2 linked regions of the Arabidopsis thaliana genome follow. Changing the gene in region 1 together with any one later gene gives a genetic interaction. Each region holds a gene or a part of one and is shown on either strand. Other genes may lie near its edges.

Region 1 (16,488 bases):
TATCTTCAGTCTGGACAGTCAGTCAAGTCAGATTTTAAAGATATTACGGTATGTCTCAAAGAGCAATCATTGGGAATCTTCACAACCCAATATCAGTTTCTATACAAGCAGACTAACACTGTTCACGCTTAATCATAGGTTCATCCGAGTGATGTGATGGGACCTTCAGTTCCTGGTCCTGTTGTTTTGCTTGTGGATTGTCCAACAGAGTCACATGCCGAGGAACTGCTATCTATCCCGTCTATGAAGACTTATTATTCATGTCTTGACAATTCAACAGATGGAGCTAAGCTTGTTAATTGTATTATTCATCTAAGTCCAGCTTCTGTAACAAATAGTTCTACATACCGAAGCTGGATGAAGAGATTCCATTCTGCCCAGCACATTCTCGCTGGACATGAAGCGTGAGTCTTCTCAACTATGGTTCTTTCTCATAAAAGAACTGTTGAATTTATTTGTCTGATATGTAGTTTTGGTGTTTGTCCAGGAAGAATATGGAGTTTCCAATCCTGAGAGCCAGTTCTAGAATCACAGCCAGACTTAACTATTTATGTCCACAGTTCTTCCCAGCTCCTGGATTTTGGTCTCATCAACATGATAATAACTCGATAAACCCCACTTCTTTGAGCAAGGTTACAAACGCTTTTCTGATATTTTCTTTTTGAGTTGAATCTGGCTGTGTTCATTTAGTCAAGTTGTGTTCTTTTCTTCTCTTGTCAGTGCTTCGATTCGAATCTTGGTGAAAGCATTTCTGCTGAAAATCTCCTCAAGGTATTGAATGTTGCTTCAGTGCATCATTCCATATGAAACTTCCTTTCTTTAGCTCTTAAGTCTCTCGCTTTCTCTCATTGATATATTGTGGGCAGTTCACTTTGCGTCCACATGGTAATCTTGGGGTAGACAGATCTAGTATCCCTAGTCGATTAACAGCTTTACGAGTGATGGATGAGCTTCTTTCAGAAATTCCTGAAATCAGCAGTAAGACCGAAGAAATCAAGCAGTTATGGAATGGACAACACAACAAGATGATGATCGAAGAGCCATGGCTGGGTGAAAGCACTGTTCCAAGCTGTCTTGAAAACATTAGAAGAGACGACATGGAGATAGTTCTTTTGGGCACTGGTTCCTCCCAACCCTCAAAATACCGAAATGTCACGGCAATTTACATCGACCTATTCTCTAGAGGCAGTATTCTCTTGGATTGTGGGGAAGGTACCTTAGGCCAGCTTAAACGAAGATATGGTTTAGAAGGAGCTGATGAAGCAGTCAGAAACTTGAGATGTATATGGATCTCTCACATCCATGCTGATCACCATACGGGTCTTGCAAGAATCCTTGCTCGCAGACGTGAGCTTTTGAAAGGATTGGCTCATGAGCCAGCAATTGTGGTTGGACCGAGATCGCTTAAGAACTTTCTCGATGCATATCAAAGACTTGAGGATTTAGATATGGAGTTTCTCGACTGCAGGAACACCACAACAACATCTTGGGCTTCTGTAGAAACCAGCCGCCCTGAGAAAAATACCAGTAGCGGCAATGCAGAGGGTTCTTTGTTCAGTAAAGGAAGTCTAATGCAGAGTATATATAAAAGACCGAGCAGCCCACTGACAGACAATTCTTCAGCTTTACCATTCTTGAAGAAACTGAAAAAAGTCCTCGGCGAAATGGGGTTGGAGCATTTGATTAGCTTTCCTGTTGTGCATTGCCCTCAAGCCTTTGGGGTTTCGTTAAAAGCAGCAGAAAGAAAAAACATTGCCGGAGATGAGATTCCGGGGTGGAAAATGGTTTACTCGGGAGACACAAGGCCTTGTCCTGAGATGGTTGAAGCTTCAAAAGGAGCAACAGTTCTTATACATGAGGTGCTTTTCTATATAAGCAAAACTGTGTAAAACATTTACATCTCATTCTTAAAATTTACCATCTTTTCAAACTTATAACAGGCGACGTTTGAGGATGCGTTGGTAGAAGAAGCTGTGGCTAAAAACCATAGCACAACTAAAGAAGCAATCAAAGTTGGATCTTCAGCAGGTGTATACCGAACCGTACTGACACATTTTAGCCAGAGATACCCAAAGATCCCGGTGATTGACGAATCACATATGCACAATACATGCATTGCCTTTGATATGATGAGTATAAACATGGCGGATTTACATGTGCTTCCAAAGATTTTACCTTACTTCAAAACTCTATTCAGAAACCAAGTGGTTGAAGAAGAAGAAGAAGAAGAAGAGACTGATGATGATAGCTTAATACGTGACAAAGTCCCAAGCTTTTTCATCAATTAGTATATAGATTAGAATGTTCTGTTTTGTCCCCTGTTTTTGACTGTGTTGTATTGTCTTTAGAAATAATATCAATTTAATTGATTTTTCCTGTGAGTGTGACAGAGGAAATAAATCAGTTTCATGTGCATAATGTGAATTGTGAAAAAGAAATTAAAAAAAATCGGAACTTTGGGAAATAAGGAAAGACACCGAAGAACACACAACCATTCCTCTTTATTGACCGCTTCCTTCTTTCTCTGTCACATACGAATCGGTGAGTTTTTTTCTTCTCAATTTCTCCGTTCTCTGCTGATTTCTCCGAGGTTATTGATTCGATTCCGCTTGACGCATGATTGTGTTGTCTCAAGGGTCTAATTTTACCTCCGCGTTGATTGGTTTATAGGGGAAATTTGGATCCCGATCGTGATCTTTAGTTTGGTGAATTTGAGCTGGAATTGGAGCTTAAAGGATCGGTTTTTTGACTGATCTAATTGTTTTGAGGATCGGTCTTTCATAAAGTTGTTGTCTTTGAAGCTTTTTTGACTGGTGAGGACGAAAAAGTTGTGATTTTGGGAATTAGGGTTGTTTTGTTTCGAATTCGCCATGGATACGAGCAGGAGAGCTGTGGAATCGTATTGGAGGTCGCGGATGATAGATGCGGTTACGTCTGATGAGGACAAAGTTGCGCCTGTGTACAAATTGGAAGAGATCTGTGACCTCCTTCGTTCTTCTCATGTCAGCATCGTCAAGGAGTTTTCTGAATTCATTTTGAAACGTCTTGATAACAAAAGCCCCATTGTTAAGCAGAAGGTATTTTCAATTACGTTTGTTTTCTGTTTTTGATTGTGAAATGTTGTTCCTTTGTGAGACATTTGTTTTCCATGAAGATTTTGATTGAAATGTTTGCATGTCGGGATTGATTTAGATTGTAGGTAGATGTTTGTTTTTTCTTAGAATGGATCAAAGAGAAAGCTTTATGTGTTTGATTATAGCGTAGAGTTTGTTTATAGGGAGACGTAGAATGGATCTTATTGTGGCTAAAAGCTCTGTAGGAACTGGTTATACTGATTTTGGTTATTATATGTATATACAGGCTCTTAGGTTGATAAAGTATGCTGTGGGAAAGTCTGGCTCAGAGTTTAGACGAGAAATGCAAAGGAATTCGGTTGCAGTGCGCAATCTATTCCATTACAAGGGGCATCCAGATCCTTTAAAAGGAGATGCACTTAATAAGGCTGTACGGGAAACTGCTCATGAAACAATTTCTGCTATATTCTCAGAAGAGAATGGTACTAAACCAGCTGCTCCTGAAAGCATCAACAGACGCATTGAAGGATTCGGGAATACTAACTTTCAGGTGCCCTCTAATGATAATAAATCGTTCCTTAGTGAGGTGGTGGGTATTGGAAGTGCATCTATAAAGCAAGGAATCAGTAATTTTGCTCAAGGCCATTTGCCAAAGAAGAATGAGAATGGCAGCAGCAGCTACAGAGGTCCAAATCTCCACAGATCATTAACTATGGAAAATGAGAACTTCAGTAGATATGATCCAGTTAAGCTGGGGAAGGATGGTAACTACGGAACGTCTAAGAACACGACTGGTGGATCTTGGGGCCACGCTTCCGGAGAAGCAAGTGAAAGTTCTGCTTCAGTTCGTGTTGAGAGCAAAACTCGTGAGGAAAAGCTGCTGGAAACCATTGTTACATCTGGTGGTGTACGCCTGCAGCCAACTCGTGATGCTCTTCATGTTTTCATTTTAGAGGCTGCAAAAATGGACGCTGTTGCTTTAAGCATTGCTCTTGACGGGAAGCTCCATTCTCCAATGTGGCAGGTATGTTTATGATTATTTCCTAGTCACCTCCTTGTGAAACTGTTTGATGCTACTAATGTACTTTTTTCTTGATTATATCATCTGTATTTTCTTTTCCCTGGCTTGTTTCTTCTGTAGCGTTAATCTTCCCACTTTTGTACTTTGAAAGTAACTGTGTTTTTCTGTTTGGCAGGTTCGGATGAAAGCTTTATGTGTCCTTGAGGCCATTTTGAGGAAGAAGGAAGATGAGAATTTTTCAATTGTACATACCTATTTTAGTGAAAACTTGGATGCCATACAGCGGTGCGCAGAGTCTCCACAATCTTCCCTTCGAGAAAAGGCGAACAAGGTAAGCTTCTGCTTGTTATAACCATTCACAAAACTCTTTTTTGGCATTATGCTAATTTGTTGGTTAACTCGAGATACCGATGTTGTGTAGGTTCTGAGCCTTCTAAATGGTGGACAGTCAAGTGGGTTGATGAGCAGCTCTGATAATACTGTGAAGCGAGAGGCTGCTGTTGATTTACCTGACTTGATTGACACCGGTGATTCAGACGATACTTTGAACAATCTGAATGCTATAGATACTGGCAGTACAGTGGCGACAGCAGGTCCATTGATGGATGATGATTGGTTTGGGGATAGCTCTGACATTGGACTGAGTAGCAGCGAGAAGAAAACTGATGACGACCCCTTTGCAGATGTCTCATTTCATCCGAATGAAGAAAAAGAAAGTGCAGATGACCTCTTCTCTGGAATGACTGTCGGGGAAAAGTCCGCTGCTGTTGGTGGTAATCATGTGCCTGATCTATTTGATATGTTTGGGTCAACTGCAAAACTTGAAGCAGAGCCAAAAGATGCAAAAAACATTAATGATTTGATGGGAAGTTTCTCCATTGACGAAAACAATTCAAATCAGAAAGGCTCGTCTTCAAGCACTCTTCCACAGGATTTATTTGCAATGCCGAGCACCACCAGCCACCAAGCACCGGAAAATCCTGTTGGAGGCATTCTTGGCTCACAAAATCCTGGGTTTATTCAAAACACAATGCTTCCTGGAGGTGTTATGCCATTCAATTTTCCTCAAGGGATGATGATGAATCCAGCTTTTGCATCCCAACCTTTGAATTACGCTGCCATGGCAAGCTTGTTAGCTCAGCAGCAGCAGTACCTTGGTAATATGTCCAACTTCCAGCAGTTCGGCAATCTGAACGCTCAGGGTAGCGGAAATGTTCTTTCTATGGGTACAAGTGGAGGGAATCAGTCCGCACTCCCTGATATATTCCAGCCAAATTTTGGTAATCAGGCTCCAACCTCAACAATGAATGGTTCGAAAAAAGAAGATACCAGAGCCTTCGATTTCATTTCTGTAAGTTTTGCCATCTTGCTCCTGATCTTTGATTCTAAAGTTTGGTCAATCTGCCATTTGTCTTTGTACATGTGACATCAAATCTCACACACATAATGTCTAGCTCGATTAAAACCACCTAAACATAGTCAGACTAGATCTACTTTTGTGGCATAGTTAAAAAACCTTCGTTTGATGTACATACACTCATGGAGCAACTACATAAATGTTTGTGTGATGCAGGATCATCTTACATCAGCCCGCGACACAAAGAGAGTATCTTGATGGTTGCTTACAAAATTCCGCCTTCCAGTGTTAAATGCTATTTCATGAGATGTGGACACAAGGGTGCAGGAAGCTAAAACATTAATTTATGAGAGCTGTATAGACTTGAGGAGAAAATGGAGATAGCTTTATAATTCATATGGTAAGGGTTTTTGCTTCTTTTATCTGTTTCCTCGTTTTGTCTTTGGTTTTTCTTCTTCTTTGGAGTCCATTGTTCTTGGCATGAACATGTAGTTGTAGAGTTGCTTTTTGTTTGTTACTAGATGTGTTTATTTTGTTCCGTTGCTATATATTATATCTGAAGAGACTTGTGTCTGTGTATCGAACGTAGACAAGAAAGGAAATGAAACTGAGAAAGGAAATGCATATGAATAGTTTAAAGACTTCAAGTCAAGTCCAGTTGTTTTTGCGTTTCTTAATTAGAAAATTTTGTTGATGGAGAAAAACGAAAGCCAGGGATAATTTTGTTTAATCGTGATGTCTGTTACAATTTGGAGTAGTTAATAAAATAAGGTAGATCTAATCTAAGTGGCTGCAATGAGCTTTTTTTTTCTCACACGTTAAACTTGGTCCATATTCTCAGCATTGCCTGTTATACTGGTTTGCTCATTTTAAATTGGCGTTACTTATTTTAGGATACATCCATTGGTCAAGTGTTTGCATTGGTGTAGATATTTTCATACGATAAGAAAGAAAGAAAGCTAATAATTTCTCAATCTATTTAGGTGAAACTATTCAGAGTTTGATTAATGAGAGAAAAAGGAAATGATGCCCCTTTATTTTCTTACCTGAAGTTTAATAAGAATGCATCTTTTGTGTACTTTCTACCAACGGTAAAGATTGAAAAAAATGGTGGAAGTTACTTTTCTTATCTTTTTAAAAAGTGGTAACGGGAAAATGACGAGTGACATCCTCATTACATAAATCCAATTAATAAGATTTTGAGGTTCCCATACTGTGTAAATATAAAAATAAAGAATGAATAAAAATACCTCAACGGGCAGATTGATAGTGACATATGGAAGTAACTTTAGACTCTCCAAGTCTCTCTCAAATAGGAAACGAAGGAGACATTGAGATTATTTTTTAGAAAGTTAATAAACGATCTCTTCTGTAAATCTTTTCTTTTTACATTCTCTGCATCTTTTATGCTTCTTTGTTGGCAAATCCATCCTCAGTTTTATTTCGTTTAAAAAATTATCAATATGGTCAAATGTATATTACATATAATAGGTGTAGATATATTTTTTTTTTTTTTGGATTTTTATAAAATCTTCATGATAATTGAAAGATGGGTAGGCTAAATGTCACTTAAAATGGAGCGTCTAATTTCATTAGTCAAATTAAGTATTTATTTTCTTTGATAGTTTGACACATTTCCACCAAATTAATTAGCCTTTGAAATAAGAAATAGTATGCTTGTTGACAAAAATTAAAAGAAAGAAATAGTCTAATTCCACCCAAAACAAAGAACAATCAAAATAATCTAAAAACAAGAACACAATAATAATAGTATGCAGTTGTAAAATCAAAATCACAATTTACTCATATGTATATGGAAAAAAATAAAAAAAATACTATACAGTTTTAAGAGTCTAATTTGGTACGATTGACGGTTGTAATAATTACTATTGATTCTCACATCCAAAAACCAGAAAAAAAACGTGTTATGTTTTTATACTAAAAGAAAGTTTATTAAAAAAAAAAACCTCAGAATCAAAGCTCTCTCATTAGCACTTTAGCAGTCAGTCTATAAATACATGTCTCACATCCACACAAAAAGAAGAAGTAAGTATCAAACGAGAGTACAAAAGATGACGTCACTCAACAGCTCTGCATCACCAACATCATCGTCATCAGACCAATCTGATGCAACTACTACAACAAGCACCCACTTGTCTGAAGAAGAAGCTCCACCCAGAAACAACAACACAAGAAAGAGAAGGAGAGATTCTTCTTCTGCTTCTTCATCTTCTTCAATGCAACATCCTGTTTACAGAGGTGTGCGGATGAGAAGTTGGGGCAAATGGGTCTCCGAGATCCGACAACCTCGTAAGAAAACTCGTATTTGGCTCGGCACTTTTGTCACCGCTGATATGGCTGCTCGTGCTCACGACGTCGCTGCTCTCACCATCAAAGGCTCCTCCGCCGTCTTAAATTTCCCTGAGCTTGCTTCTCTCTTCCCTCGTCCGGCGTCATCATCGCCGCATGATATCCAGACAGCCGCCGCAGAAGCCGCCGCCATGGTGGTCGAAGAAAAACTGTTAGAGAAGGATGAGGCTCCGGAGGCCCCACCTTCGTCGGAATCTTCTTACGTGGCGGCGGAGTCAGAGGATGAGGAGAGGTTGGAGAAAATTGTGGAGCTGCCTAACATTGAAGAAGGAAGTTATGACGAGAGTGTGACATCACGTGCTGATCTGGCTTATTCTGAGCCGTTCGATTGTTGGGTGTATCCTCCGGTTATGGATTTTTATGAAGAAATATCGGAGTTTAATTTCGTGGAATTGTGGAGCTTTAATCACTAATTAAGTTAGGAAAGTGCATTATATTGCAATATTGCATCATAGATAACATTTGTATTTCTTTTCTTTTTGTACGGATACGTAGCATATGCTACTATACTAGGGCTAGTGTACCAAATATTGTAAAATATACTTATTAATATTTATGTAAATGTGTAATATATATAACATACAATTATTGTAAGTTTGGAAATTGGAAACTATCGTTACGCAATGTTCTTGTACTTGTGAATCACAACAAACAAAAATGTTATTTAACTCTTCTTAAACGTATAAATTCCTAAAAGAGTCAATGGTCATTCTTTGTTTCTTCTCACCAGTCAATAACCCTCTTCTCCAATGCTGACTATAATTGATTTTAAATTGTTACAATTATTGTGAAGAAAATAGTTGGAATCTATGACAAGTTGACATTATTCTATAACTACATTCCAATTTACAAGATTGAAGATTATTAATCTAGGTATGTCGATTAGATAATTCCAGAAGCAAGAAATTTATATTATAGTTAGGTAACTGTAGGAGTTTAGGTTGGAACAAAATTTGTAATGATCAAATATGAGAATGCATTATAGAACACTCTAAAAATAATTCAAATGAGGTACACCGTCCAATCTTTTTTACTTATTTAATATTTTGACTAATTATATCTTCTTCTTTTTTTTTTGTGCACCAACATTACTAATAGAATATAGTTTATGTTTGCAAAAAAATAACATTGCTTCTGCTGTGAAAAACGTTTACAGTATAACCAACATAAAATCACTGTGGATAAAATGAAATTCCTTTATTTCGACCAACATAAGTACAGAACATTAACGGTCACGTACTTTTGTTTTGTGTTTTGGTCACGGGTTCATCCTTATTATAATTCATATTAAATTCCACTAATTCGTTTGTTTTTATCAAACTAGTTAAACTTTTGCCAACAAACCGAAAAGATCAATATTCAAAGAAGAAAAATGCATTTGAATTTTTAATAAAAGGTGGAGTTACAGTTCAGATTCCATAGTCACATAGCTCTTTATTTTGAAACTGTTACGTGATTTTTAGTCTTCTTAAACACGGGTTTTGTTTATTTCTTTAATATTTGAGTGTGTTTAATTTTAGCTTAAATATAGTATTTAACTGAATATGAGTAGAGATGGTGGTGTGGGAACGAGCAAGTCAAATACTGCCGTTGTGGACCTCTTTTCTTGTTGTCAAATTCTTTTGACGAATTCAATTTTTATTTTTTTTACCGTTGTTTAAGAAGATTAATAATTTTGGACACTTTATATGAGACAAGAACCCAAAGAAATCGTATTGAACCTATATCCAGATTATAAAATATGAGAAAACTATTTTTAACATATTAATTTCTGTAGTGCTTTGATAAAATTCAAATAAACGACTTTTATCATTAATAACAGTGAAGTGAATTGTATAGAACAATTATGTACGTAAGAGTTTTAAATAATAAAATTAGAAAATCGGTTGGGTATTTCGATTTTTTAGTAAACAGTACATGATGATGAGTCGGGTGGGTTCAATAATAGAGATTAAGCCATTAAGGTGGCCAATTACCAATAAGGAGGTTAAGTAAATGATTTGGTAAACGGGTTAACTAAAAATAAAATAAAAATTGGTAACACGTAAATATCATTTAGTTGTCAAATCTTGCAAGTCAAATGTTATCTGCTCTGTAATAATAATCAAATAGTTGTATGTATATCGACCAACCTAAGCACTCTTGATTTGATTCTCATCAATTTGCAATTTCACCTAAATACCTAACAAAAAGAAAAATCATGGATTAGCATGTGCCCATTGTTCAATGTCTTCCAATTTTTATATATAGCAAATTAAAATAATCCACATGCTCCACATAAGTTCATGACATAAAAATTCATAATCCTTTTTTCAAGATATGTGAAACAATTTAAAATTGACTATTGCTTCAATATGGATAAAAAGAAGTGTTATACTATATTGAAGCTCAAAGAATTATCTAACATGTACTATTACAAAGATTACAGAGGAAATATAGATAAAGGATCAACCTCATTGTCTCTATAATGGGTTTTTGATGTTTATTCCCTACGATTGTCACGAACTGTCTCTTTTCTCCAAATTACAATCATCTTATGAACTGTTTCTTGCGGTAGTCATGTCCAGTTTCAGCACCATCTCTTCTAGCTCAAGCCGTTTGATCTTCCTAAGTTCAAGGATACTCGGTGGCATTGGTTTACTGGACCCATAGAGCTCAACAAGAGTGAAGAATTCTTGTTTCGTTAGACTTTTCTTTTGAACCAGTTTCTCTACCACCTCGTCCATGAGCGTCCTGTTTCTTCCAAGAATCTGGTGTATGCGTTTGTAAATATATATTTAACAAGACCAATATAAAGGAGATGCTATGATATAGATGTAGTTGATTTAGAAGTCTACTTTACCTCTTTAGCACGCTCGTAACACATGTTCAATATCCGCAATGCCTCCACATCAATATCCTGCAAATCCATGTATCAGAAGATGATATCTGTTCTCTGAAAACTGAAGTGAAAACAATGTCAAGATATGGCCTTACGTTAATTCGATCAGCTACCCAGAAGTTATTCAAGCCATGATGCTTATCAGAAAGACCACCAAGAACCAATGATCGAGCAGCTGATCTTGCGTTATCCGATGTTTCAGCCCATATCGTGCTTAACTGTAACAAATCATTAGCAAAGGTTGGTAAACTAAAAAAAAATATGACCACAGTTATTAGAGAAGAGTAAAATGATATATCATATCTCTCACCTGATCCTCACCGTACCATAGTTCATCTGCAGCACGGGGTGCTAACTGAACAGTGATGTGATCCAAGATGGATTGTCGACTACATATAGTAGACCACCAAAGGACATATAGATTAACATAAAGAACCCGTGTAATCATGAAAGTAAATCTGTATGATGAAAGCCACAAACCTAAGCATGCCTTCCTTAAATTTGATATGATCCATCTTCACCCGGACATAACCCAATTCTCTACCAGCTCTAGGGTTGATTGTCAGCTGGTCAAGGTCATCGAAATGTCACGGTGCGGTAAAACAGAAAGTTGAAGCTTCATTCAATGTATGAAGGGGAAAAGAGATTTAAGAAACCTACAAATTCTATATTCTTCATATCAGGAAAGTTCACTGCTACAACAGCCATTGCAGCTTCATTGATCGCAACTTGTCGCCATGTCTCCAAGCTCCTGTCTTTTCTATCTAACATTCCTCTTTCTTCTATTTGTGCAGCTTGAAGCAAATCATCTGTTGTTAACTGCATTAGAGTTACAGAATATAGATGATTTCTCAGTCTTTTACTTGCTGGAATCAAAAATAGACTTCTAAACTTAATATTAGCCTAAGCTTCCTATCGAGCACAACATCCAATCACTTAATTTAATTCACACACACCATATTACCAGATGCTACACGATCCTAACATTTGAAACCAAACCCATCCAAAAAACAAGAGCAGATATAACTAATTTGAACTAAAAATATTGATCCCACCTCTGTTCTTCCATCACGCATCATATTAATTGCCGCGATCTCAACAATATTAGCAAGCTCTGCTCCAACCATGCCATCTGTCATGCTAGCAACTGCCATATAGTCTAAATCTTCAGCCATCGGCTTCTTACGAGCATGAACCTAAACAGCAAAACCAAAACAAAAATATAAATTTGGACCGAGGACAAAACTCTACTTTTAACCTCTTTTTTTTTTGTTGCAAATTTACAAGTTTAAGAATACATAAACACAGATACCACGCCGTTACCTGCAGAATTTCCATCCGTCCAATAAGACCAGGTTTAGGGATAAAGATTTTGCGGTCGAACCGTCCAGGCCTCACAAGCGCAGGATCGAGAATGTCTGGTCTGTTTGTGGAAGCAATGGTGATGACCTCTCCCCTTCCTTCAAAACCATCTAAAGAAACAAGTAGCTGGGACACAAAAAAATGAATAAAATTACCATCCCGTTATATAACGAAGAAAACTATTACACAATCTGAAATGTCTGGAACCTGATTAAGAGTGGCATCCCTTTCTTGTCCTCCAGAACCCTTTATTAACCCACGCTCCCTTCCAACAGCATCCAATTCATCAATGAAGACCACAGATGGAGCCTGCAGTGAGACCACCTTAAAATTAACATCCAGTAATAGACTAAATCCTCACTATAACAATGAGAATCAACAGAAAAGAAGCCAAGAGGTACTGCTTGAATGATCTCAGAAGCATCCAAAAGTGAGAATTAAGTTCTACGATCAACACAGGTATAGAAAGTTATTAGACTTACATTTTCTCTAGCTTCTTGGTATAATGCTCGGACACGAGATGCACCAACACCAACATATATTTCCACAAACTGAGAAGCAGAGATAGAGAAGAAATTGACTCCTGCTTCACCAGCTACAGCTTTTGCCAGTAAAGTTTTTCCGACCCCAGGAGGCCCACATAAAAGAATACCACCTAAACGAAAACAAAATTAAAGAAATGATCAAACAGCAGAATTTCATAGATCATATAACTTAACATCAAATACTAGGTGATATAAGGAAAAACAGAAGTTTTCACAACATTCAACCTGGAATCTTGACCCCTCTCCTGCGGTACATCTCTCCATGAGTAAAAAACTTAACGATTTCCTCAAGTTCAAGACGAATCTTCCCAAGTCCAGCAACATCTGTAAATTTGACATCCACACCTCTCTCAAGATACTCAGGTAACCTCTTATTTGATGCTCGTCTCACACGTGCACCTGACTTCATGAACTGCATCGCCATCTGTAAGTAAGGATTTTTCTCACCTGTACCTTCCTCAACCTCCTCATCCTCTTCCTCAATTCCCTCCATCTCCCTTTCCAACTCCCTCATTTTCTTCCTCTCATCTGCTTCCGCCTTCTCAATCTTCAACCTGTCTTCATAATCCTTCTTTTGCTTCCTATAGTTGAGAACCACCACACGGTAAAATATATAAAAGAATACCAATCCAAGAGCAGTAGCCACATTAGGATCCTGAGCCAATCTTGCCCACATATCCGCCATATCTCGATAATTTTTCCTCGCCTCACGCAGAGACTCCTCGTATTTCTTCTTCCTAACAGCCTTCCTTTTCTTCCTCTCCTGTTGTTTCTTCTGCGCCTTCATTGTCTTTTCCATCATCACTCTTTCCTCTTTCATCGTCTCAATCTCCTCCTTCCTCTGCCTCTTGAAATCCTCCCTCATTCTCTTCAACTCAGCAGCACGTTTAGACTCCTTCTTTGGCTTAACCCATGTTAACATATAAGCAGGAACTTTCCACAAAAATCCTAAATAAGGAGACGGCACAGGAGGTCTCTTAACCGGAGGAGTATAAGCATTAACACATTGTACATCAATCCCTAACTCATCCCATTGTTCCCAAAACCTCTTATTACCCTCTAAAGAAGGCAACACAGTCCTTAATACTCTAGAATCCTCCAAAACTACTAACACAGGCTCTGCCTTTTGCCGCAAACTTAAATTAGGAGGCTTTATCACATGCTTAAGCTTACCTTCAGCTTTTAAGCTCAAAATGTCAGTATAAGGTATACGATTCGAAACTACAGGTAAATCTTTGGACCAAGCTTTAAGCTGTTCAAGTGTCAAAGCCTCCTGAGGTTTCTTCTGAGTTCTCTTTCTCTCCGTTACCTTCGCAGCCGCGAACGACGGTTTGGCTAGAGAAGCGGAGATTATAGTGAGTGTGATTGGTATTGCGAGAAGATTGACTTGGTTTGTCTTGGCTTTGTCGTTATCATCACCATCTTCATGGACAACGTTCGTAGCTGAATTGTTTTGGCATGAGATTGAAGGGTAATTTCTGGGTAGTCTCTGACGATTTTCCGGTGAAAGGAATTGAGAAGGTGACGAAGAATGCAGAGGGAAACGACAAGCCATGATGTGATTCAATTGAAGTAGAGTGAATTTAACTTACATGAAGAAGTGAATTGCAATAAACCAAGCTAGTCGAGATAGAGTGATCGCCATTAAAACGTAGCAATGAGCTTCATCATTTCCCAGGCTAAAGGGATAGAAGAAACAGAACACAGAACAATCGTAATATAAAAAGGCTTCTTAAAGCCCAATAACAAAAACTTAGGCCATTTAACTCTAAAAAAGGCATTAAGAAGCCCAGACGCTAAAAACGAATCGAGACGCGGAAACCGGTCTGTCAGTGTCACTCATGTATGTGTTTGTCGCGGGTGATTTTGAATATTTTTTTTGTCGTGTATATGGAACATGGTCAACAAAATTCAAAACATTGAAATTCGGTAATATCGATTGAAACAATCAAATTCCAAAAAGCAACCCCATAACGTAAATGATTATTGTAATGATGAAAAACTTAATTAACGACGAGAAGTACAAGAGGGTAAAACAGTAATTAAATTTTTAGCGGTGGCGTGAGAGATGGAGAACGTCGAGAAGTGAAGAAGCGGCGAGGAGGAGAAACGCGAATAAGGCGAAGACGATGGAGCCAGCGAGATGGTCACAGAAGAAACCAAGAGATTTGCAGAAATTAGGAAGAGGCATGTGTCTGATTCCTGTTCTGTTCATATTCGTCACTCCTAAAGCTGCAGATCCTCCACTCACCATTGCGTATCCTATTATCTGATCTGCAACGAAGCAAAACCATGCTTGTGTTCTTGTCGGAATCACCGGAGATTTTCTCATTAGTCTTGTTCCACTTATAATCAGTTGAATCAACGAGTAAAGAACCGTTGCCGATGAAACCACAACTAGATATCTGTAAAAGAACCGTCAGTTTCAAAAGCAACGTGGAATACATATCACTGGTGATGTCAAATTTATGAAATATGCTTACATAAGAGAATCTGAGAGAGACCAAACGGCGTGGAGCTGAAACTCGAAGCCATAGAGAGTGGTCATGCTAGTCTCGCGTGCTGTTACCATTAACGTAACAGCCACCGTTGATACGGCCATGCACATGGCTCTTAGCACAAACATGGCCACGTCATTGCGTTTCCCGCCGCCGTGACGGTTATCTTCGCCGTAAGTGATGGCTGTGTTGACCACGTCGCGGATATCAAGCTTCGCTTCTGCACTCGCAACGGTCGGGTTTTGTTTCTGCTCTGCTGCTTTCGCCATTGTGAGTTACTGAGTTTTGTAATGTAATTTACATGCGAGAGGGGATATATAAACACAACAGGCTAGATACGTGGCTAGTTCCTAATGGAGTTTCTAAAACACTGCCCGTGAGGCTTCCATGGAATCAGTGTCTTTCTTTCAATCATTCACGAGGCATGACTAGTCTGCTCAAATACAAACAACAATGAAACGGCTAAAAGAGGAGATTTTAATAATCAGATTTATACCAAATTTTTAGCCGTCGTCAATACAAAAGACAATTTGAAACACCTCTTACAATTTTTAATTTTGACCACGCTCTAAGATTTACTTAGCCACTCTGCTCTCAAAAACTTCAAACTATGTGTAAAGAAGAATCATTCGGGAAATGCCATTGAAGTAGCTTTTAAACACCGAACATCAAGTCAAAGAACTTTGAGACCATTGACTTTGACGGAGAGGCCATAGCGCCACCACTTGGTTGAGGAGAGAAAGCGCTGCCGTTTTGCAAGTACTGAGGACGAGACAGGGGTCGAGCAGTGTTTCTAGTGGATGATGGTGGAGGTAAAGGCATGAATCCTTGGTTGTTGAGTCTCTCGTTTAACGCTTGCTTCTGTATTGGGTCTACTGGCTTCACTCCTACTATTACAACTCCGTTTATCATCATCCCTGCTTTGTTCAGCGCCTTATGTGCATCAGACCGGTTCTGTATCAAATACACAGACCATTGTCAGTTCGTTGTTTCCTTTATATAAAAGATTTGATTAGACTATCATGTATGATGACTCGTCTAGAAGAACTATGAATGCTTATCAACATGCATCAAACAGGTTTGAAGGGAAGAACAGTAACCTGGTAGAGGATGTGCATCCAGTTGGCATTTCTTGGACCAGGAACATGTTTCAAGACCATACCACATTTTTCAAACTCCCGTAGTACTAAATTTGTATCACCTGGAGAAAATCTGAAGGCAGTTATTATGATCAGTTCTTAAGATTGAAAAGATGGGAGATAAACACAAGATAAGGCACTTAATAACACTACCAGTTATTATCCATGTAAAGAGTCAGAATTCACAATGATCAAAACATAAAATCACAATCAAAGGCTGATATTTGAGCATCATGATGGT
Region 2 (16,839 bases), on another chromosome or scaffold:
ATTTTCAACATACATTATTTATCCATAACGAATGACTTATCACCAGTTCACCACACATAATACGGTTTACTAGCTAGGTATTTATCCATTGTAAAAACGACTTTAAAGTTTTATTTGCACAAAACAATTTTTTAATAATTAATGTTCCATCATATTTTATATGAGACATCTCACAAACCCAAATCAAAATAACGCTGGGAAATGTAACCCTAGGCCATGAAGTGAAATCCATTCATTTCTAGATACAGACGATAGTCGTTGCAAGGATAGAGAACCCGAAATTTTCAATTCTGCATCACTCAGATACTTTCCGAAATATTTAAAATTCCAGTTTTGCAAATCTTTTGTTACCCAATTTTTCTAAGTATGTTAACCTTCTCTTCTTTTTTTTTAAACAAAACCTTCTCTTATCACAAACTGGAAACTGTAAGTTGTGAGTAGGACAACCTTTTATTATACAAGACTCTAGATTATATTCCATTTTTCTAAATATGGTTTCTTAAATTACATATTATGTATATAGGTTCAATAACTAGACGATATTCATTAACATTGATATATATAAAAAAGATAATTATCTTTTTGGTTAAAAAATCCTGAAAGATGATGACATGTGTTAAACAAATTTGGGAGATTACAACACTAATAATAAGATCGGAAAGACTAATATATTATAAGTTGAATAGATATAATGTCTCGTTAACAAAGGATTTCAAGCAAAACTCAGAATCTCTTTAAATTATGAAAGATCAAATTCGCTTACAAATAATTAGACCAGAAACTTGCAGAAATCTTTACAAAAATCATGAGATTTAGGCATTGAAAAATAAAAGGCTTCATGAAGTAATCAAAGATTGACAAATAGGAAAAGAGAACATTTATAAGACAAGAAGGAAACAAAAAGAGAAAAAAAAAAACAATTGAATGAAAAAAATGAGAACAAAAACTTCAATAGCTATAAGATACCTCTAAACTGAAAGCGAAATACTAAATAATGCATAGAAAACTGAAAAAAAACAAAAAACAAAGATACATTGATAATAATCACGACCCCAATATTCTTCTAGCTGATGTTTATCATCATCTTCAGGCACCCATGACTTTGTTCTTTCCCATTTGAGATGAGACTTTATGAGTGACTAGAGCCCGAACCATTCTCTTGTAAAGAAAACGAATCATGAGAAAGATTGATGTTTAGATGAGGAAAAGTAATAGAAGGAGGAATGTTTCTAGAGATTGAATCAAGGGGGTTCCCAGCAACAAAATGGTATCTAGACACACGAGGACGAACGGGAATGATCAGATTCCCATCGAAGGATGAGTTAGTGTTGTTATTAATGATATTGTTGCTATCTCCTATGGACTTAGATGGACCAAGAGTAAGATCAAGATTAATATCATCAGTTGATAAAGCATGTGAGCTATAGTTGTTCATGTTCATATCTGTGGTTCCTCTAGGGACTCCAACATTAAGCAATGGGTTAACGTTGTTGCTGCTGCTGCTACCTTCTATGGACTTCAATGGACCAAGAGAGAGTCCAAGGTGATTATCATTTGATAAAACATCTTGTGAAGACCCACCAAAGAGCAAGTTAGACTTGTCTTTGTTAGAAAGCCTTGACTCGATCTGTTGCCTCTCCAATTCTCGGTCCTCCTTGTGGGTGGTTCCGTGACCGCCAAGGGCATGAGGGGTTGGGAACGCTCTCTTGCACAAGTAACAGATGTAGATCTTATTATAATACTGGGGCGGATTGTTCACTGTCTCCTTCTCCTCCAGGACCTCCATGGCCACAACGGAACTTTTGAGTTTTTGATCATGTTTGTGTGTGGAGGAGCTTGATGAAGACATAGATTGGTTCTCCATTACAATTTGTTTTGTAAAACTTAATTTGCTGAGAGTTAGAAGTTATGTCTTATCTCTTTTTTGTTAGATTTATGCTATTTATTGAGTAAACTATTAATTATTGTGTTTCACTAATTTAAGGTATGAAATCTCCAAAGGCAAAAACAAATTAATTGAAACCACAGAGTTTTAGTCTTTCTCTTCTCTAAAGTGCTATTTCACGTACGTGTCAAAATACACCAATTTAAGTTATAGTTCAATCAAAATTTAAATATCTTATATTTGCACGAGTGTTTGAATATATAAATTTTAAAAAAATATGGTTATTTCTCTAACCATGTTGATTTTACTCATTTTGTCTTCCAAAATAATAGTTTTGTGTGATACATGTACCAGTTGGCTTTGTATAATCTGAAATTTATCTACTCATTTAAAAATGACTGAAGCAGTCAGAGAGTCTCCCAAGCTAAGGGTTGAGTCACTCAAAATACAAAGTTAAAACACTCAAAAATAACAAAAACAATTGGTGGAGGATTCAAACCAAAAATATAACATTGTGAAATAATACAGTTCATATCCCCTGATCTCAAGTAACTTACTCGAAAGCAACAAAACGATTTTGAAAGGCACACACATATGAATGATTGCTGCTTAAACACAAGTGCATGAAAGAGTACTGATGAGATATGCATATCAATCTCACAAATAATTTATTATTAAAAAAAAACATATTAATCTGATCTTTGAATAATTGAAACAGGAAAGAATATTCCAAACTATGTAAAGTGCTAGTTGTTCATATTTGGAGGTGGAATATGGAAAGGAGCCTTAAATGTAGAATTACCACCAATGAAGCGTAAATTATCCAGAAAGAAAAATCCTGCTTCGTCGAAATCATAGATTATAACCTGGTTAGAGGGGAGACCTGGAAAGGAACTAGCAGGGACACAAAATGGTTCAGATTTTGAGAGGTACATGCAGAGATCTCCAATGTCTTGGGTGTAAACCGCGTTTCCTTGTTCGTCAAGCTTGAACACCATCAAAGCTTCGGTTCCCATTTTCGCAACACCATTGACGATCTCAGCGGTTCTCTTGTACCACTTAACCAAGAACATTTCACCACCAGTGGATCGTGATTCCACCAAGTGCTCGCTTGTACAGCAAGAATCCAGAAGCTTCCGTGTGGTCTTTGCAAGATTGGGAAACTTTTTAAATCGCAGCTTCTGAATCTTGGGTGTGTGCATGTGTGTACCGAGATCCCATGATCCAATGAGATGGCCTCCAGATCCGGGAATGCGAAACATGTCATCTTTCTCCGAATACATGACACTGGAGGAGTAGAAACAGGGGTTTGCGATTCTGACGTTGATCCACTCGGGTTTACGTTGAGCTGGTCTGCAAAAGCTGAGCTGAGGTCCTAAGAACTTGACAGCCACGACACAGTCCTCATCCTCGGGAGAAGATGAAGACATTGACACATTGGTGACGATTTGAGTTTGGCAATGGGGCAGAGTTACAAGAGGAGGCAAGGGAATGCGTTTAGGGTTCGTATCCGATGCAGCCGGGTTAAAATCATCTTGGAGACGCAATATACCGTCGTCCTTCAAAGTAGCTACCCAACCATGGGATGACCCGATCGTTACCATGGGATCACTGTGCACCAACTCTAGAGGCACCTTCTTTTCCAAGCAAGTGCGTCGAGACATCATCATAACATCGAGTCTCCCGAGATGATCAGCTCCACAAGGTTGAACGCCGACGATTGAACAAGGAGGGGTTTGCATCAGAGAGGATCTTACCAGTACAGGTTTCCTCCGAAAGCATAGTAGCTTCAAAGGTTGGTTTAGAAGCAGAGACATGCGTAAGAGATGTTGTTACCGAAATGCAAAGGCTGCAAGAGATTTAGATTAGATTAAGAAAGTATTATACAAACCCTAGTTGAAGAATAAATAAGTTTATGCGGTCAGTAGAACCGAAATTTTCTCGATTTGCTTTGGTTCTGTTTAAAGTTGTGATTTGACATGATTTGATTCAACACTATCTCTATAAATAAAGATCCAACGCAATCTTAATTAGATTTCATTTTAATTACGATCAAACCCTTCAGTAATTGTTCTTTTCCCCCATGATTTCATTTCCAAAAAAATGTTGCAATATTAAAGTAGCTAACTAAAACTCACAACAAATAATGAGTGTTGCGATATTAACGACCAAAGCAACGACTTTGAGGAATCCAACACTCTTTCAAATGACTCGTTAATAATAAAAATAAAAAACATTATAGAAAATCTCCAAACTTAGAGAGAAACTAAAACACAAACCAATTTGATATTTTTTTCCCGAGTGATTCGTTCTTAATTTCTCTTTGATGATCTCTGATTTTGTAGTGAATCACCTCCATGGGTAGTGAATCACGTCCATGTGTTATTATGTGTATCAATTAACTGCTGTGTGAGGGTATTATGGGTCTGATTACCTTTAAAATTCTCTTTCCGATTGATTTGGGCCGGTAGGTAAATTTTTCTCTTCGTTTATCAAAAGGAAGAAAAAAGTATTTAAATTTTTGTTTTTCTCAGTTTTTCTTTTTTTGTTATGCTCTGGATTATTTTTTACAATGCATGTGCCATTGTTATGTGAGGGACATGATGAAACAGAGACATCAAAATAATGGGGATTTTCTGATATTTCCTGAAAGAATGATGCTTGTGAAGGATGTTGAGTGGTTACTAGATATGCTATAGAGAGACACACAAAGGTAGTAGAAAAGAACCTGTTGAAAACCAAAAGCAGACTCATGATGTAACTAAGCAAATAGAGATTTAGGATGGAACTAAACAAAGGGTTCCGTTCCAAGATAAAACTAGTGACCATTACCAATGATGACCATGGTAATAATATAGGAGAAGAAAAGAAAAGACTCAGTTCCAAACTACGGTACTAATCTAGTTTTTGGGGTGGCATAAGGTAATTGCTTTTGAATGATGTAGGCATCACATCAGTAATGATGGTGGAATCATCCAGATCGAAAAAGCCGCCTTCGTCACAGTCAAAGAGTATGACATTGTTAGGGCACAGTCCGGGAAAAGAGCTAGCAAGGACACAAAAAGGTTCAGACTTTGAAAGAAAAATGCAGAGATCTCCAATATCTTGAGTGTAAACCGCGTTTCCTTGTTCGTCAAGCTTGAACACCATTAAAGCTTGTGTTTTCATTTGCGCAATACCCTTGATGATCTTGCTTGAAGACTTCTTGTACCACTTAACCAAGAAAGTTTCACCAGCTGGTGACTCAACCAAGTGCTCGCTCTTGCAACATGAATCCAGTAGCTTCTGTTTGGTCTTTGTCAGCTTGGGAAGGTTTTGAAACTGCAAGCTCTGCAAATTATGCTTGTGTGTGCGGAGATCCCATGTTCCAATGAGGTGTCCTCCAGATCCGGGAATGCAAAACATGTTATCTTTCTTGGAGTACATGACACGAGATAAGTAGAAACAAGGGTTTTCGATTCTGATGTTGATCCACTCGGAGTTACTTTGAGCCGGTCTGCAAAAGCTGAGCTGAGGTCCCAAAAACTTGACAGCCACAACACAGTCTTCATCCTCAGGAGAAGATGCGGACAATGACACATTGGTAACGATTTGAGTTTGGCAATGAGGGAGAGTTACAAGAGGAGGCAGGGGAATGCGTTTCGGGTTAGTATCCGATGCAACCGGGTTTAGATCGTCTTGGAGACGCAGTAGTCCGTCGTCCTGACTCAAAGTAGCTATCCAGCCATGGGATGAACCGATGGTTACAAGTTCATTATCATACAACAACGCCATAGGCACCTTCTTATCCAAAGAAGTGCATTCATCTTCATAAGGATTCAAAATCACGAGTTTTCCCTCTTTCGCAAGTCTTCCACAACGTTTAGCGCTGACGACGAAACAAGGAGGAGTTTGCAGCAAAGAAGATGATAAGCCATCATTAGAGAGAAGAGGAGATGATCTCACCAACACAGGTTTCCTCCGAAAGCATAGTAGCTTCAAGGGTTGGTTGAGAAGCAGCGCCATTGATAAGAAGTGTTTTAGGGGAAAGCGAGGCTGCAAGAGAATCAAATAAGAAAGAGTAAACAAAACAAAACCCTAGTTGTTGAGATGTTCACATAAATAACCACCAAGATCCGATACAATCTTAATTGGATATCATTTTAATTAACCACGTTCAAACCTTATTATATGAAGTTTGTTTCTTCGAATATATTTTCCATATACTTGATTTAATTATAAATACTTATTTACATAACAATACATACTCCAGAATCAATATCCTCAAATTTTAGAAAAACAATGTGAGATGTACATGATTGAGATAAAGCTTGAAGCTAAGTCTGATTAAGAAGAAATTAAAGTTTGCAAAATGTGGGGAAGTCTCTATACGTGTCAGAGGGTTTGAGATCTGAGAATACTTGAAGAGAGGCTATGGAGAGTAATTCGAGAAGCAAAAATAAGCAGTCGTCTATTTACTATATGAGAAAAATCTTCCTTCTAGATGTGCAAATATCCTCCTGAAAAGTTGGTCCTCGCACTGATAACAAAGAGAGATGGCTATGATGATCATATATTTCCAAGCTCATCCCATCATAATCGCGACGTCACATCCCCTAAAAAGCATATTAATTGCCAAAGTTGGTAGCATAACTCTCTTCTAATGGCGACTTAAAATGGAAATATACTAAGTGGATCTATATATTTTCAAAATTGGAAAGTATATATATGTGGATGAAGTTAGAGAAGTTAGAAATTTCAAAAGGCTTTGGGATTATATTTGTGATAACTCCCGATGATATTCCACATACAGATAAGTAAAGGTGCTACTTAGACCAAACCGATTATGAGGTTTAGAGCCAGCGAGAGACCACTTCTCATTAGACTACAAAACTTTTTTAGGTTTATTCACACACAATGTATTATAGTTCCTAATGTATACCTATTAAATTAGAGTTTGTCGAATGTTAGGATTATAGTTCGTATTGACAAACAAATATCAGTTTGAAAAATTAGGAATCTAAGAGATAATAATATAATTATTTTTTTGGGTTTAAATTGAAATTTGTGTTGGTTGGAACATTCGTTGACTCATCGTCACATCAAATAAAAATCTTAGCAAATAAAATATGTCCCATAAACATCACATAAATAAACAAAGAAATTGGAATCAATACAACAACCACTCCAAAGTGGATACAGACATAACAGGTGATGAGATGGCCATGTGATTTATTTTCCACCCGCAACACTCTAATGCTTATATATGACCAATCAAAAAAACCACTTAAACCGCCAAATAAACCGACCTTATTTTTGATAAATCAAAACCCACTTAGTCACAAATTAACCAATTTTATATGATTACACTTTCACAAATATTCATGTGTAGATTTCTTTGAAAATTTTCAGGTGCTGCAATCACGAGTGACCGAATTATTTTTGAAAATTTAAACCGAAATGAAATTAAACCGAACCATATTCAATTTTGAAAATGAAATCTAAAACCGGATTAATAAACCAGTACCATAATCTGAACGGTCCAAAAAGTATTGACCCATCTCTCTCTCTTGGTCGCTCGTTCTCAAAGGGCAAAGAAAAAAGGATTTTTAATTTTCGGAGAGGAAGAAGAAGAGAGAGATATTGAAGAGCGCTGAAGGCGGAAAAGACTATTTTGACCTCGTCGTCTCCGTAGATCATTTTTCTTCAGCTCTTCTTCTTCCTCTTTCTCCGATTCTCCTTCTTTTGATTTTATCTATCCGCCATGAACGAGAAAGCCAACGTCTCTAAGGAGCTTAATGCCCGCCATAGAAAGGTCTCTCTCTAATCTCGAATCTCAGATTCTCTTATTTTATTTTCTCCGAGCTTTGTGGATTTGTCGTCATATATTTGAATTTGGTTGCCAACAATATATGATCGATCTTAATTCGATTGGATCTGTGCATTAGCAGCTATCCTTCCTTCATTTTCTTCGGTTTCCTCTAGTTAGGAGAGGATTTGTATCGTCGATCCTTATCTTCTTCGATCGATTGAGCTAGAATTATTATTCATCAGCAATGAAAATCAGTTTCTCTATTTCGATTTGTTGTCTAGGACAATAGTTGATCACGATCGGGTTTTTGAATTGTTTTATATTCAACGTCGGCTTATTGAATGTTACAGTTTCATGGAGCTTGAATTCTAGTGTTTTCCTATAGAAATTCGTATTCAATTGTTTGATTTTGGAAAGAATCGAACACAGGGATCCAAGGAGCTTAGCGTCCCATAGGGATTTTCATTTGTGCTTGGTAGTCTTTGAGTTATTTGCCATGTTGAAACTATTAGTTGTAGTTGGGATAGCTTTGTGGGATTGGTGATGCATACATGTATAGGATATTAGGAATGATGTTGTATGTCGAGTCTTCGAGAACTTTGGTGTTCATTCATTGACGAAACTTATCTCATACTGCAATGAGAACTTTGATTCATTTTGGTTAGTTAAACATGTCAATTCTGATAATTTTGAAGTTTTCTTGAGATACTCTATATTTTGTATGTGTAGATTCTTCTTTATGTTTTGCGACGTATGATTTTTTCGTTTATGTAGTCTATTGCTTGAATATTCATTTGATTTTGGTGCTACTTATCTGCAGATTCTTGAAGGGCTTCTTAAACATCCAGAGAACAGAGAATGTGCTGACTGCAAAACAAAGTATAGTTTTCTACCTGATGTGAATTTTCAGCATTATTATGCTGGTTCATGTATGTATTTGCTAATACTGTTCCATTTGCTTTGCAGAGGTCCAAGATGGGCTAGTGTTAATTTAGGTATCTTTATCTGCATGCAATGTTCTGGGATTCACAGGAGTCTCGGGGTACACATATCGAAGGTAGTCTCTCACTTTCCTTTCTACATTTGTTTTCTTGATGCTGCATTTTTTTACGAAAGCTCAGATATTAATTCGATGAATAACTCATTCCATTTGGCTCAAATTCTCTGCACAAATTTTCAATTTGGTTTTTGTATTAGCAATTTCATTTTGTATTTTCCATCACAAGAGCTGGAAAGTTTGACATGAATGCATTAAATCTCCCCACCTTCTTGTACTCCCATTGTCGTCGATACAGTTTACACACGAACTTCAAGCAACTCTGTGCAAAAGTACATGATTTGATTTCGCCCTCTGATTTTTGTATGAGCCGTGTCCTTTTGTCAAGTAGATGTTAACCTTAGCAGCATAAGCTACTTTATTTTCTACCAAAACACCTGACTGGGCTAATGAGTGCAGGTTCGATCTGCCACTCTGGACACATGGCTCCCCGAGCAGGTTGCATTTATACAGTGTAAGTGTCTTTTAAACTAAATGCTCTATGGCTGATTCATGGGTTGTTACGCAATGTAAAGTATATAATCTTTTATTTGCATGCAGCAATGGGAAATGATAAAGCAAATAGTTACTGGGAAGCAGAGCTACCCCCAAACTATGATAGAGTTGGAATTGAGAATTTTATACGTGCAAAGTATGTATCTCTCTTTTTCATTATACAAACTTTTCAGTTAGTTCCACCTCATTGAATTGTCTATCTTGCTATTCATATGGACGTTGAAATCATTCTTATGACATATGACTTTTCTAGGTATGAAGAGAAGAGATGGGTTTCTAGAGGGGAAAAGGCTAGATCACCTCCTAGAGTCGAGCAGGAACGGCGGAAATCTGTGGAGAGAAGTGGGCCGGGATATGAGCATGGACATAGTAGTAGTCCTGTAAATTTGTTTGAGGAGAGGAAAACTATTCCAGCATCTAGAACAAGAAATAATGTTGCTGCAACGAGAATAAATCTTCCCGTGCCTCCCCAAGGACCCAGTCAGGTACCAAACATACTTCTCAGAAGATCTGTATAACTAAAGAGCCATACCTTTAGTTACTCATCAGTATTAAGGATCCGTATTCCTTGATCTTATTTAATAATCTTAGGATATCAGCTATGAGATCATTATTTTTGTCAATGCATATGCTGTAGCTGTCAGATCATTATTTTACTCACTGTGTTTTTAGAGCCTCATAATCTGTCAACGTGTCTTTCTTACAGTATCCAAACCCTGGTTTTTCTGATACATGATGCTAAAAATGACAGGTTATAAAGCCACAGCAGAAAATGGAGTCTGCAGCTACTCCAGTAGAGAGGGAGAAACAAGCAGTAAATGTTGCACCAGCATCAGATCCTCCAAAGGTGGATTTTGCTACTGATCTGTTTAACATGCTATCAATGGATGATTCGACTACAAATACCTCAGAGGCAACTCCTGGCGATACTCCTGCCGATGATAACTCATGGGCTGGCTTTCAGTGTATGTATCTATCTAGCATGTGATAATCTAACATCGTGGCACATTTTTCCTATCCTTGTTAACTTTATGTCAATTGTTCTTCTTTTGAAAATGCTTTGGAGTAATAGATTAATTTCTGAATCCTAAAACTGTAGCTGCTGGAAGTGGTCAAACGGCAGAGAAAATTGTCACAGCCAAGCCTGCTGAGAGCAGTTCTCCTCCAGCTTCATCTTCTGACTTTGAGGATTTGTTTAAGGACACACCTAATTTAACAACTCAACAAGCACCAAAAGATGTGAAAGGCGATATCATGAGCCTGTTTGAGAAGGTAAATTATTAGTTAATTATATACGCTTCTCAGATTTCACTGCTTTGTTGATATTCAGCTTTCCAAGTTTCGTTTTTGTATCATTATTTAACTTACATTTACAAATATAGCGAATGATATGATTTGTGTTTTGTTATCACTTACTATGATTTCTTCAACACGGGACATTTGGAACACCAGAGCAGATTCAAGTGATATAACTCTGTGTGTTCTATTTGATTACAGACGAATATAGTATCGCCTTTTGCCATGCATCAGCAACAGGTTGCTATGCTCGCTCAGCAGCAAGCCCTTTACATGGCTGCAGCGAAAGCTGCTGGAGGCACTCCAAACGGCGTGAATCAACAAGCTATTGCTAATGCTCTTAACGTAGCTTCTGCAAATTGGTCAAACCCCGGCGGCTACCAGATCCCCGGAATGACTAACCCCGTAGGTGGTCAAGCTGATCTCCAGAAACTTATGCAAGTAAGATCTCCCCTTTACTTTTTTTAAGCAAGATCAATATTACCATTGACCAAAGTTCTTGCAAAATTCTCACTAATTCTTGCTCTCTGTTACATCGCCATAATTTTAGAACATGAATATGAACGCAAACATGAACACGAGACCCGCACAACCGCAAGAGAACACTCTACAATACCCATCATCCAGGTATGCACACAAAACTGCATCTTGTTTGTTTCTTCTGAAAACATCATAACGTTATCAAAAGTGCTTAACCTAACTAACTCTCATATGATCTTTGGTTGTTATTAATAATGCAGTTTCTACACAATGGGTCAAGCTAATCAAGTGAACGGTATGACCCCAAACTCAACCGGTAAACCTCAGTCATCATCCGCAACCCAACCAACAAGCACCACACCATCTTCACAATCAGGCAAAGACTTTGATTTCTCTTCCTTGATGGATGGAATGTTCACAAAACATTGATCAAGAGAGAGAGACTTTTTCTGAATTTGCCTTTACATCTTTGTTCTAAATTTGAAGAACCAAAAGAATATATATACAATCATCTCTGGACAGTTTTTCTCTGTTAAACATATATTTTCTTTTCTTTGGAACTGTGTTGTAGCCGAGCTTTGATTTATGATTTTACTCGATTGTCGAAAAATTAATAGATGTAATTCTTGCTAAGAAAGGAAAAAAAAAAAAGATTTATCGGTGAGACCGCCACAAAACGTGGATTGTTCTCTTCCACTTACTGCTTTTATTTGCTTTGGTACGAAGTTTGTGACATACCAATTTTTTGGAACTAAGCAAAACAAAGAAACGGTTCCGAAAAGCCTTTGAAAGAAAACAAATTAATCGACCTTTATTGGTAAGATCAATAAAGGCGACGTGTTGATATTGAACTTGTTTCTTGTTATGGGCGGCTGTTTTAGCGTTATAAAGTTTTGAGTTTGGCATTGTCGGGCTTTCGGTCAAATGGCTTAAAGCTCATCCTCCTTCTTCACCACAAGCTTGTGTACCTCCCACTAGCCAACCTTTGTTTACCTTTTTCGTTACAAGATGTTTTATTAGCTACAAAATGCAAAACTGTAATCAATGATGACAACGTAAATCTGTAAATACCATTTCTACAAATCCTCGCTTGATCACAAAGCACAACAAATGAAGTTGTGCACTACATTGTATTTAATTATATTATTTTCTTGCATTTTTTTTGGTTTTCTCTTACACGTACATCGTCCTTGATCTAATGCAAACATAAACTAAAACACCACGTTGGACTTTAGCATTACTCATTTGGTTATTATAACAAAAATACCATGTCGGACTTGTACCGACCTTAGGGCAGAAGTTTAAAGTTTAAGTTCTATTATACTATGTAGAGGATATAGCCAATATTTATGATGCATAAGAAGATCAATCAGTATCAAGTACAAAAATCCAAAATGGTCGGTAGAATTTTGTTGTGCTTGTTGACCCGTAATGCGATATATATCTTTCGTGAGTTTGAATTGTCAAATCAAATCTACTATTAATATAAGCACTAATATGAAAACAAAATTGAACGTTTAGCATTGAGAATGATATATACGTATGCATCTATCTCAATTATTTTATGTTACAATCTGCATGTCCTTATCTAAAACAGTATTCACATGCATCATAATTCGCATTCTCACTATGACTTTCAACTATTAATTTTACAATGTCAATGAAAAATGGCCTACATTACCTAAAAATCCTAGCTCAACAGTAACTACTTTGTTTTTTTTTGCTAGCAACCATAACTTTTTTACAATTATATAATTTTACAATAACAAAACCAAAAAAGAATATTTCCATTTACAAATATCTTCTAGATCGGCTAAACTCAAATTAACACTAACATACATAAAATGAACTAATGAAGACTCGAAATTTCTCCCCAAAAAAATAAATAAAATGAAGACACAATCGACTAAATTTTTTGTTGCCAAGTGAAAAAACAAAAATCAACGGTACGACTTGGTACGTAGGTGGCAGATTCTCGAATCTCAAATTCTCTAATCACACACAATGCATAAAATATTGTACTTCTATTGTCAAAATCTTGTTGCAAATGTTAGGCAAGCTTATATTATAAGTTTATAACTTAAAACGTCAAAACCCAAAACTGACACGTGTCACTCAGATAAGCCTCCATAACCATACCCTCAATAAATAAGGCCCACTTATGATTCTGTAAAAAGCCCACACAAACACGGACCACATTTTTAAGAATTTATAAATTTCACCGTATCTATATAAATCCACACATCTCAAAGCTTCTTTAGTTTATTTTCGTAGATAAGAACCACCGAACTAACAAAATTTGAAATTCCCAAAGCAAAAACAAATTACATCATTCAATTCAATTCTCAATGCCTCTTCTTCTCCCTACCTCTTCCTTCAAAACGACGGCCACCGTCGTAATCGCCGGCGTTTCATCTATTGCCACGGCGATGATTCTCACGGTCCCTTCCGTTTCCCATTTCGTAGTCTCTTGCTTTCCGATTATTTACGATAACACCGTCTTCCTCTTAAAACCACCGTATCTTTACTTAGTCATCAACTCTATCATCGTCTGCATCATCGCTACTTCTAAACTCACTCATAAATCGTCCTCCGTCGATGACTCTGAGATCTCGGAAGTAGTGACTCCAATACCGATACCGGTACCGGTTCATTTACCTTCTGATATCGATTCCGGTTATTTAAACGTGGTTCATGTGGTTTCTGATTATACCGGATTTGTTGAGAAAATCGATGACGTGTCGATTAATCCAACGGTGGAGGCTATCCGGAAGTTTCCAGAAGTTCAGGAGGCGGAGAAGTCGAAAGAGAGTAGCGATTCGCCGGAACCGGAGACGGAGAAGCCAAAATTGAAGAATGATTCGCCGGAGATTTCGATTCTGAAGCACAGTACGAGAAAACCGCCGCGATTTAATCAGCAAAAATCTCTTAAATCTAATTCAGAAGGTAAAATAATTTAGTTTTTTTTGCTCGAAATTCGAATTTTCTGAGAAGGGCAAAATCGTAAAATGACGGAGGAGTTGTCACTGTTTATACAGGTGGAAATAAAAAGACGGCGTTGGGAGTGACGAAGCCACCGAGGAGACAAGACACGCTGGAGACGACGTGGAAGAAGATAACGGAAGGACGTTCAACGCCGTTAACTAAGCACTTGACTAAATCCGACACGTGGCAAGAAAGAGCTCACGTGCAAAGCTCACCAGAAAATAAGGAGAAGATGACCAAGTCCGAGAATTTAAAGGACATAAATACCCCCACGGAGGAGAAGACGGTGTTGAAACGCGAGCCGTCGCCGGGACAGGAGGAGTTGAATCGGCGCGTTGAAGCGTTTATAAAGAAGTTTAACGAAGAGATGAGATTGCAAAGATTAGAATCTTTGGCTAAATACAATGAAATGGTAAATGGAGGGACTCGTTTGTAAATTTTCGTGGTTTTTGCTTAGGCGTCGGTGAAGGAGAAAAATGACGGCACAGTCGCAAAAGTTGACTTGACTCTTTTTTACAACCACTTAAAAGAGTTTTTTTTTCCTTCTTCCGGGGAACAAAATTTCAAAATAATGCAAAAATTGTGTTTATGATTGTTATGTTTCTTTTGGGGTCGAGACGTTAATCGTGTGGTTACAAGTGAAGGATTATATGTTAACAGTAGTGAGTAGTGACTAGTGTTCGAATCTGTTTTCTTTTGTAATTTTACATTATAAACAATATTATTTATTTACTATTACAAACACTTTGTTTTTGGCCGAAATGAGTTTGTAAGTTAAGTTTTTACATGACCATAGTAGCAGCAGGAAAAAGCCTATCCAAGAAAGTATATAAACCTCCTCCAAGTAGAAGAGCACCACTGAACCAAAACATAGGAAAAAATGGAACCGAGATTTAGTAAATCAACAATATGAAAAAGCAATAGCCTATAATCATTTATCTTTAACATACCTTATGGGATTGATCCATGCAGAGACCTTTCGCAACGAAAGTAAGCTCTGAAGAAATTTTAAGACGAGTAAATACGCAGTTAGTTTCATTACTGTAAGAAACTTAACTAAGAAATTTGCATTTCGCTATTTGGTTTTAAAAGAAACTACCTGTAAAGCTCCGGCAAAAGAAGCAGCGACGATAAGTGGAGCGACGTAACCTGTTGTATAGGTTAAGAGTAAGCTTCCACCAATTACTGGATCCTGTTTTTCACATTTTATCCATATCAGCTTTTTGCTAAACTTAAACCGTTTCTTAAAAGCTTGAAAACAAAGCCGGAAAGTTAACTAGCTTTCATGTTCATATTTGAGATAATGACATTTCAAATGGAAGGAGACGAAATGGAGTTACCCTGGAAGTAGCCACGTAACCAAGAAGAGTGGCTAGAACTGGAGTACTACAAGGTGAGGCAGCAAGTGCGAATGTGAGACCGGCTAGATATGCTTGTACACCTGACAGAACATTTTGTTACCAAGTATAAGAAACAAGATTTAATGACCAAAAAACCATGAAAGTTTTGTGTGCTAGGAGGTTTACTAGATGGGAAGTTTGCTGCTGCAGCACGAGGATCAAAGTTGTTAAAGAAAGAAGGAAGCTGAAGTTCGATTATCTGTAGGAAATACGTCATGTTAGACATGGCCATTATCTAATGCATTTTTCCATTCTGATTGATGCAATATGAAAAAAGAGTGATTGTAGCAAAAATTACCTCAAGGAGATTGAGACCCATTACAATAGCCAGACCGGATGCAGCTACTGGTAATCCTTGTCCTATTTGTCCATAGGCTTTTCCGGCAAAAGAAGCTACTATCCCAAGAAGGGCTAAGGTAGTTGCTAATCCCAGTGCGAAAGCAACTGTATCTCCAATAACCTAAATGCATGAAGAACTGAAAGGTCACTAAAAACTACTATACTTGTGAATGAAAACATGATGCATTTGATTGGACTGGGTCTATTGTTCCTTTAACGGAGCTTTGATTTGTTTACAGGAACTCAACTTTAACTTCTTTTAAATTTTGTCAATCTGCAACGACAATGATCCAACCAACTCCTAAGGCGACAGCTATTATCTAAAAATCTGTTCTGAAGAGCCACTAACCTGACCTCTGCTTTTGCCAGACCCAAATGCACCTATATGTTACAGCCATATGAAGGACAGGTGAGGAAAGAATTAGAACATCAAACTAAGATTCTAAATAACTTGTGAGAAATGTAAAATCTTGAGATAAGTTATCATACCAATATAACCAAGTGTCAACGGCAAAACACTAAGTGTACATGGAGACAGACTTGTCACAAGGCCTGCCCCAAATATTACTGCCAAACTACAACAGGGATAAATTAGCAGGATAACCTGATGGTCAAGGTCTCAGAAACGCGTTCATTGAGAGAGAACCCGAGAAACATACCTTGTTACACTGAGTGCTGATAGTTGATCTTGAACAGCTTCGTTAGCCTGTTGGTTAGCTGAATACAAGAAGTTCCCGACCGAATCTCCAAGGCTTCCTTCAGCCAAGATGTAAATGGAAGTGGCTTGATCCTGTCTTAAGGGGAAATTAGTTTCTGATTTTACAAGCAATCGGACGTATCTCAAGGCAGAAAAGCATAGGCACAAATTCGTTCCAAACAAAAATATTGAGATATAATCCCTAACCAAGGTCTAAGGAGAAAAGGAAAAAAAAACACTTATTGACATAATCTCAATAAACTATTCAGGTTAAGATGTGGAACATAATTGAACTAGTCTACAGTAACAGAAACAAAAGAAGAAAGCACACAAGTATATAAACAATAATATCAAAATCTATGATTAAACCTTACCAAGACAATCATCTTCAAGTCTGCGGCTTTTGCTGAGCTA

What was found.
Region 2: of AT3G16270 (region 1) and AGD5, changing one enhances a phenotype caused by changing the other (phenotypic enhancement), as found in Arabidopsis thaliana (one study listed by BioGRID).

The regions. Positions count from the first base shown.
Region 1 is NC_003074.8:5,510,831-5,527,318, forward strand, and holds AT3G16270 (ENTH/VHS family protein), read left to right. Parts: upstream 1-2,442; 5' UTR 2,443-2,541; exon of another isoform or gene 2,542-2,670; 5' UTR 2,671-2,870; coding exon 2,871-3,077; intron 3,078-3,360; coding exon 3,361-4,098; intron 4,099-4,270; coding exon 4,271-4,426; intron 4,427-4,516; coding exon 4,517-5,446; intron 5,447-5,668; coding exon 5,669-5,710; 3' UTR 5,711-5,852; exon of another isoform or gene 5,853-6,102; intron 6,103-6,435; 3' UTR 6,436-6,776; downstream 6,777-16,488. Other genes in the region: TRZ4 (tRNAse Z4), read left to right, coding at 1-48, 139-404, 488-632, 721-771, 867-1,859, 1,941-2,288; AT3G16280 (Integrase-type DNA-binding superfamily protein), read left to right, coding at 7,471-8,235; EMB2083 (AAA-type ATPase family protein), read right to left, coding at 10,357-10,572, 10,665-10,721, 10,799-10,921, 11,014-11,092, 11,184-11,269, 11,364-11,522, 11,759-11,899, 12,027-12,191 and 3 more; AT3G16300 (Uncharacterized protein family (UPF0497)), read right to left, coding at 14,661-15,015, 15,094-15,377; AT3G16310 (mitotic phosphoprotein N' end (MPPN) family protein), read right to left, coding at 15,763-16,062, 16,209-16,320. UniProt on the Arabidopsis thaliana protein: Mediates clathrin-dependent trafficking of vacuolar cargo from the trans-Golgi network (TGN). Promotes plant growth.
Region 2 is NC_003076.8:22,051,856-22,068,694, reverse strand, and holds AGD5 (ARF-GAP domain 5), read left to right. Parts: upstream 1-7,424; 5' UTR 7,425-7,628; coding exon 7,629-7,679; intron 7,680-8,496; coding exon 8,497-8,555; intron 8,556-8,642; coding exon 8,643-8,733; intron 8,734-9,132; coding exon 9,133-9,187; intron 9,188-9,273; coding exon 9,274-9,364; intron 9,365-9,481; coding exon 9,482-9,713; intron 9,714-9,979; coding exon 9,980-10,193; intron 10,194-10,327; coding exon 10,328-10,500; intron 10,501-10,725; coding exon 10,726-10,965; intron 10,966-11,074; coding exon 11,075-11,151; intron 11,152-11,264; coding exon 11,265-11,433; 3' UTR 11,434-11,709; downstream 11,710-16,839. Other genes in the region: AT5G54340 (C2H2 and C2HC zinc fingers superfamily protein), read right to left, coding at 1,130-1,864; AT5G54330 (hypothetical protein (DUF295)), read right to left, coding at 2,632-3,702; AT5G54320 (hypothetical protein (DUF295)), read right to left, coding at 4,781-5,890; AT5G54300 (cotton fiber-like protein (DUF761)), read left to right, coding at 13,353-13,950, 14,043-14,425; CcdA (cytochrome c biogenesis protein family), read right to left, coding at 14,772-14,847, 14,940-14,986, 15,089-15,181, 15,330-15,430, 15,516-15,588, 15,688-15,849, 16,078-16,109, 16,218-16,303 and 2 more. UniProt on the Arabidopsis thaliana protein: GTPase-activating protein (GAP) for ADP ribosylation factor (ARF). Mediates clathrin-dependent trafficking of vacuolar cargo from the trans-Golgi network (TGN). Promotes plant growth.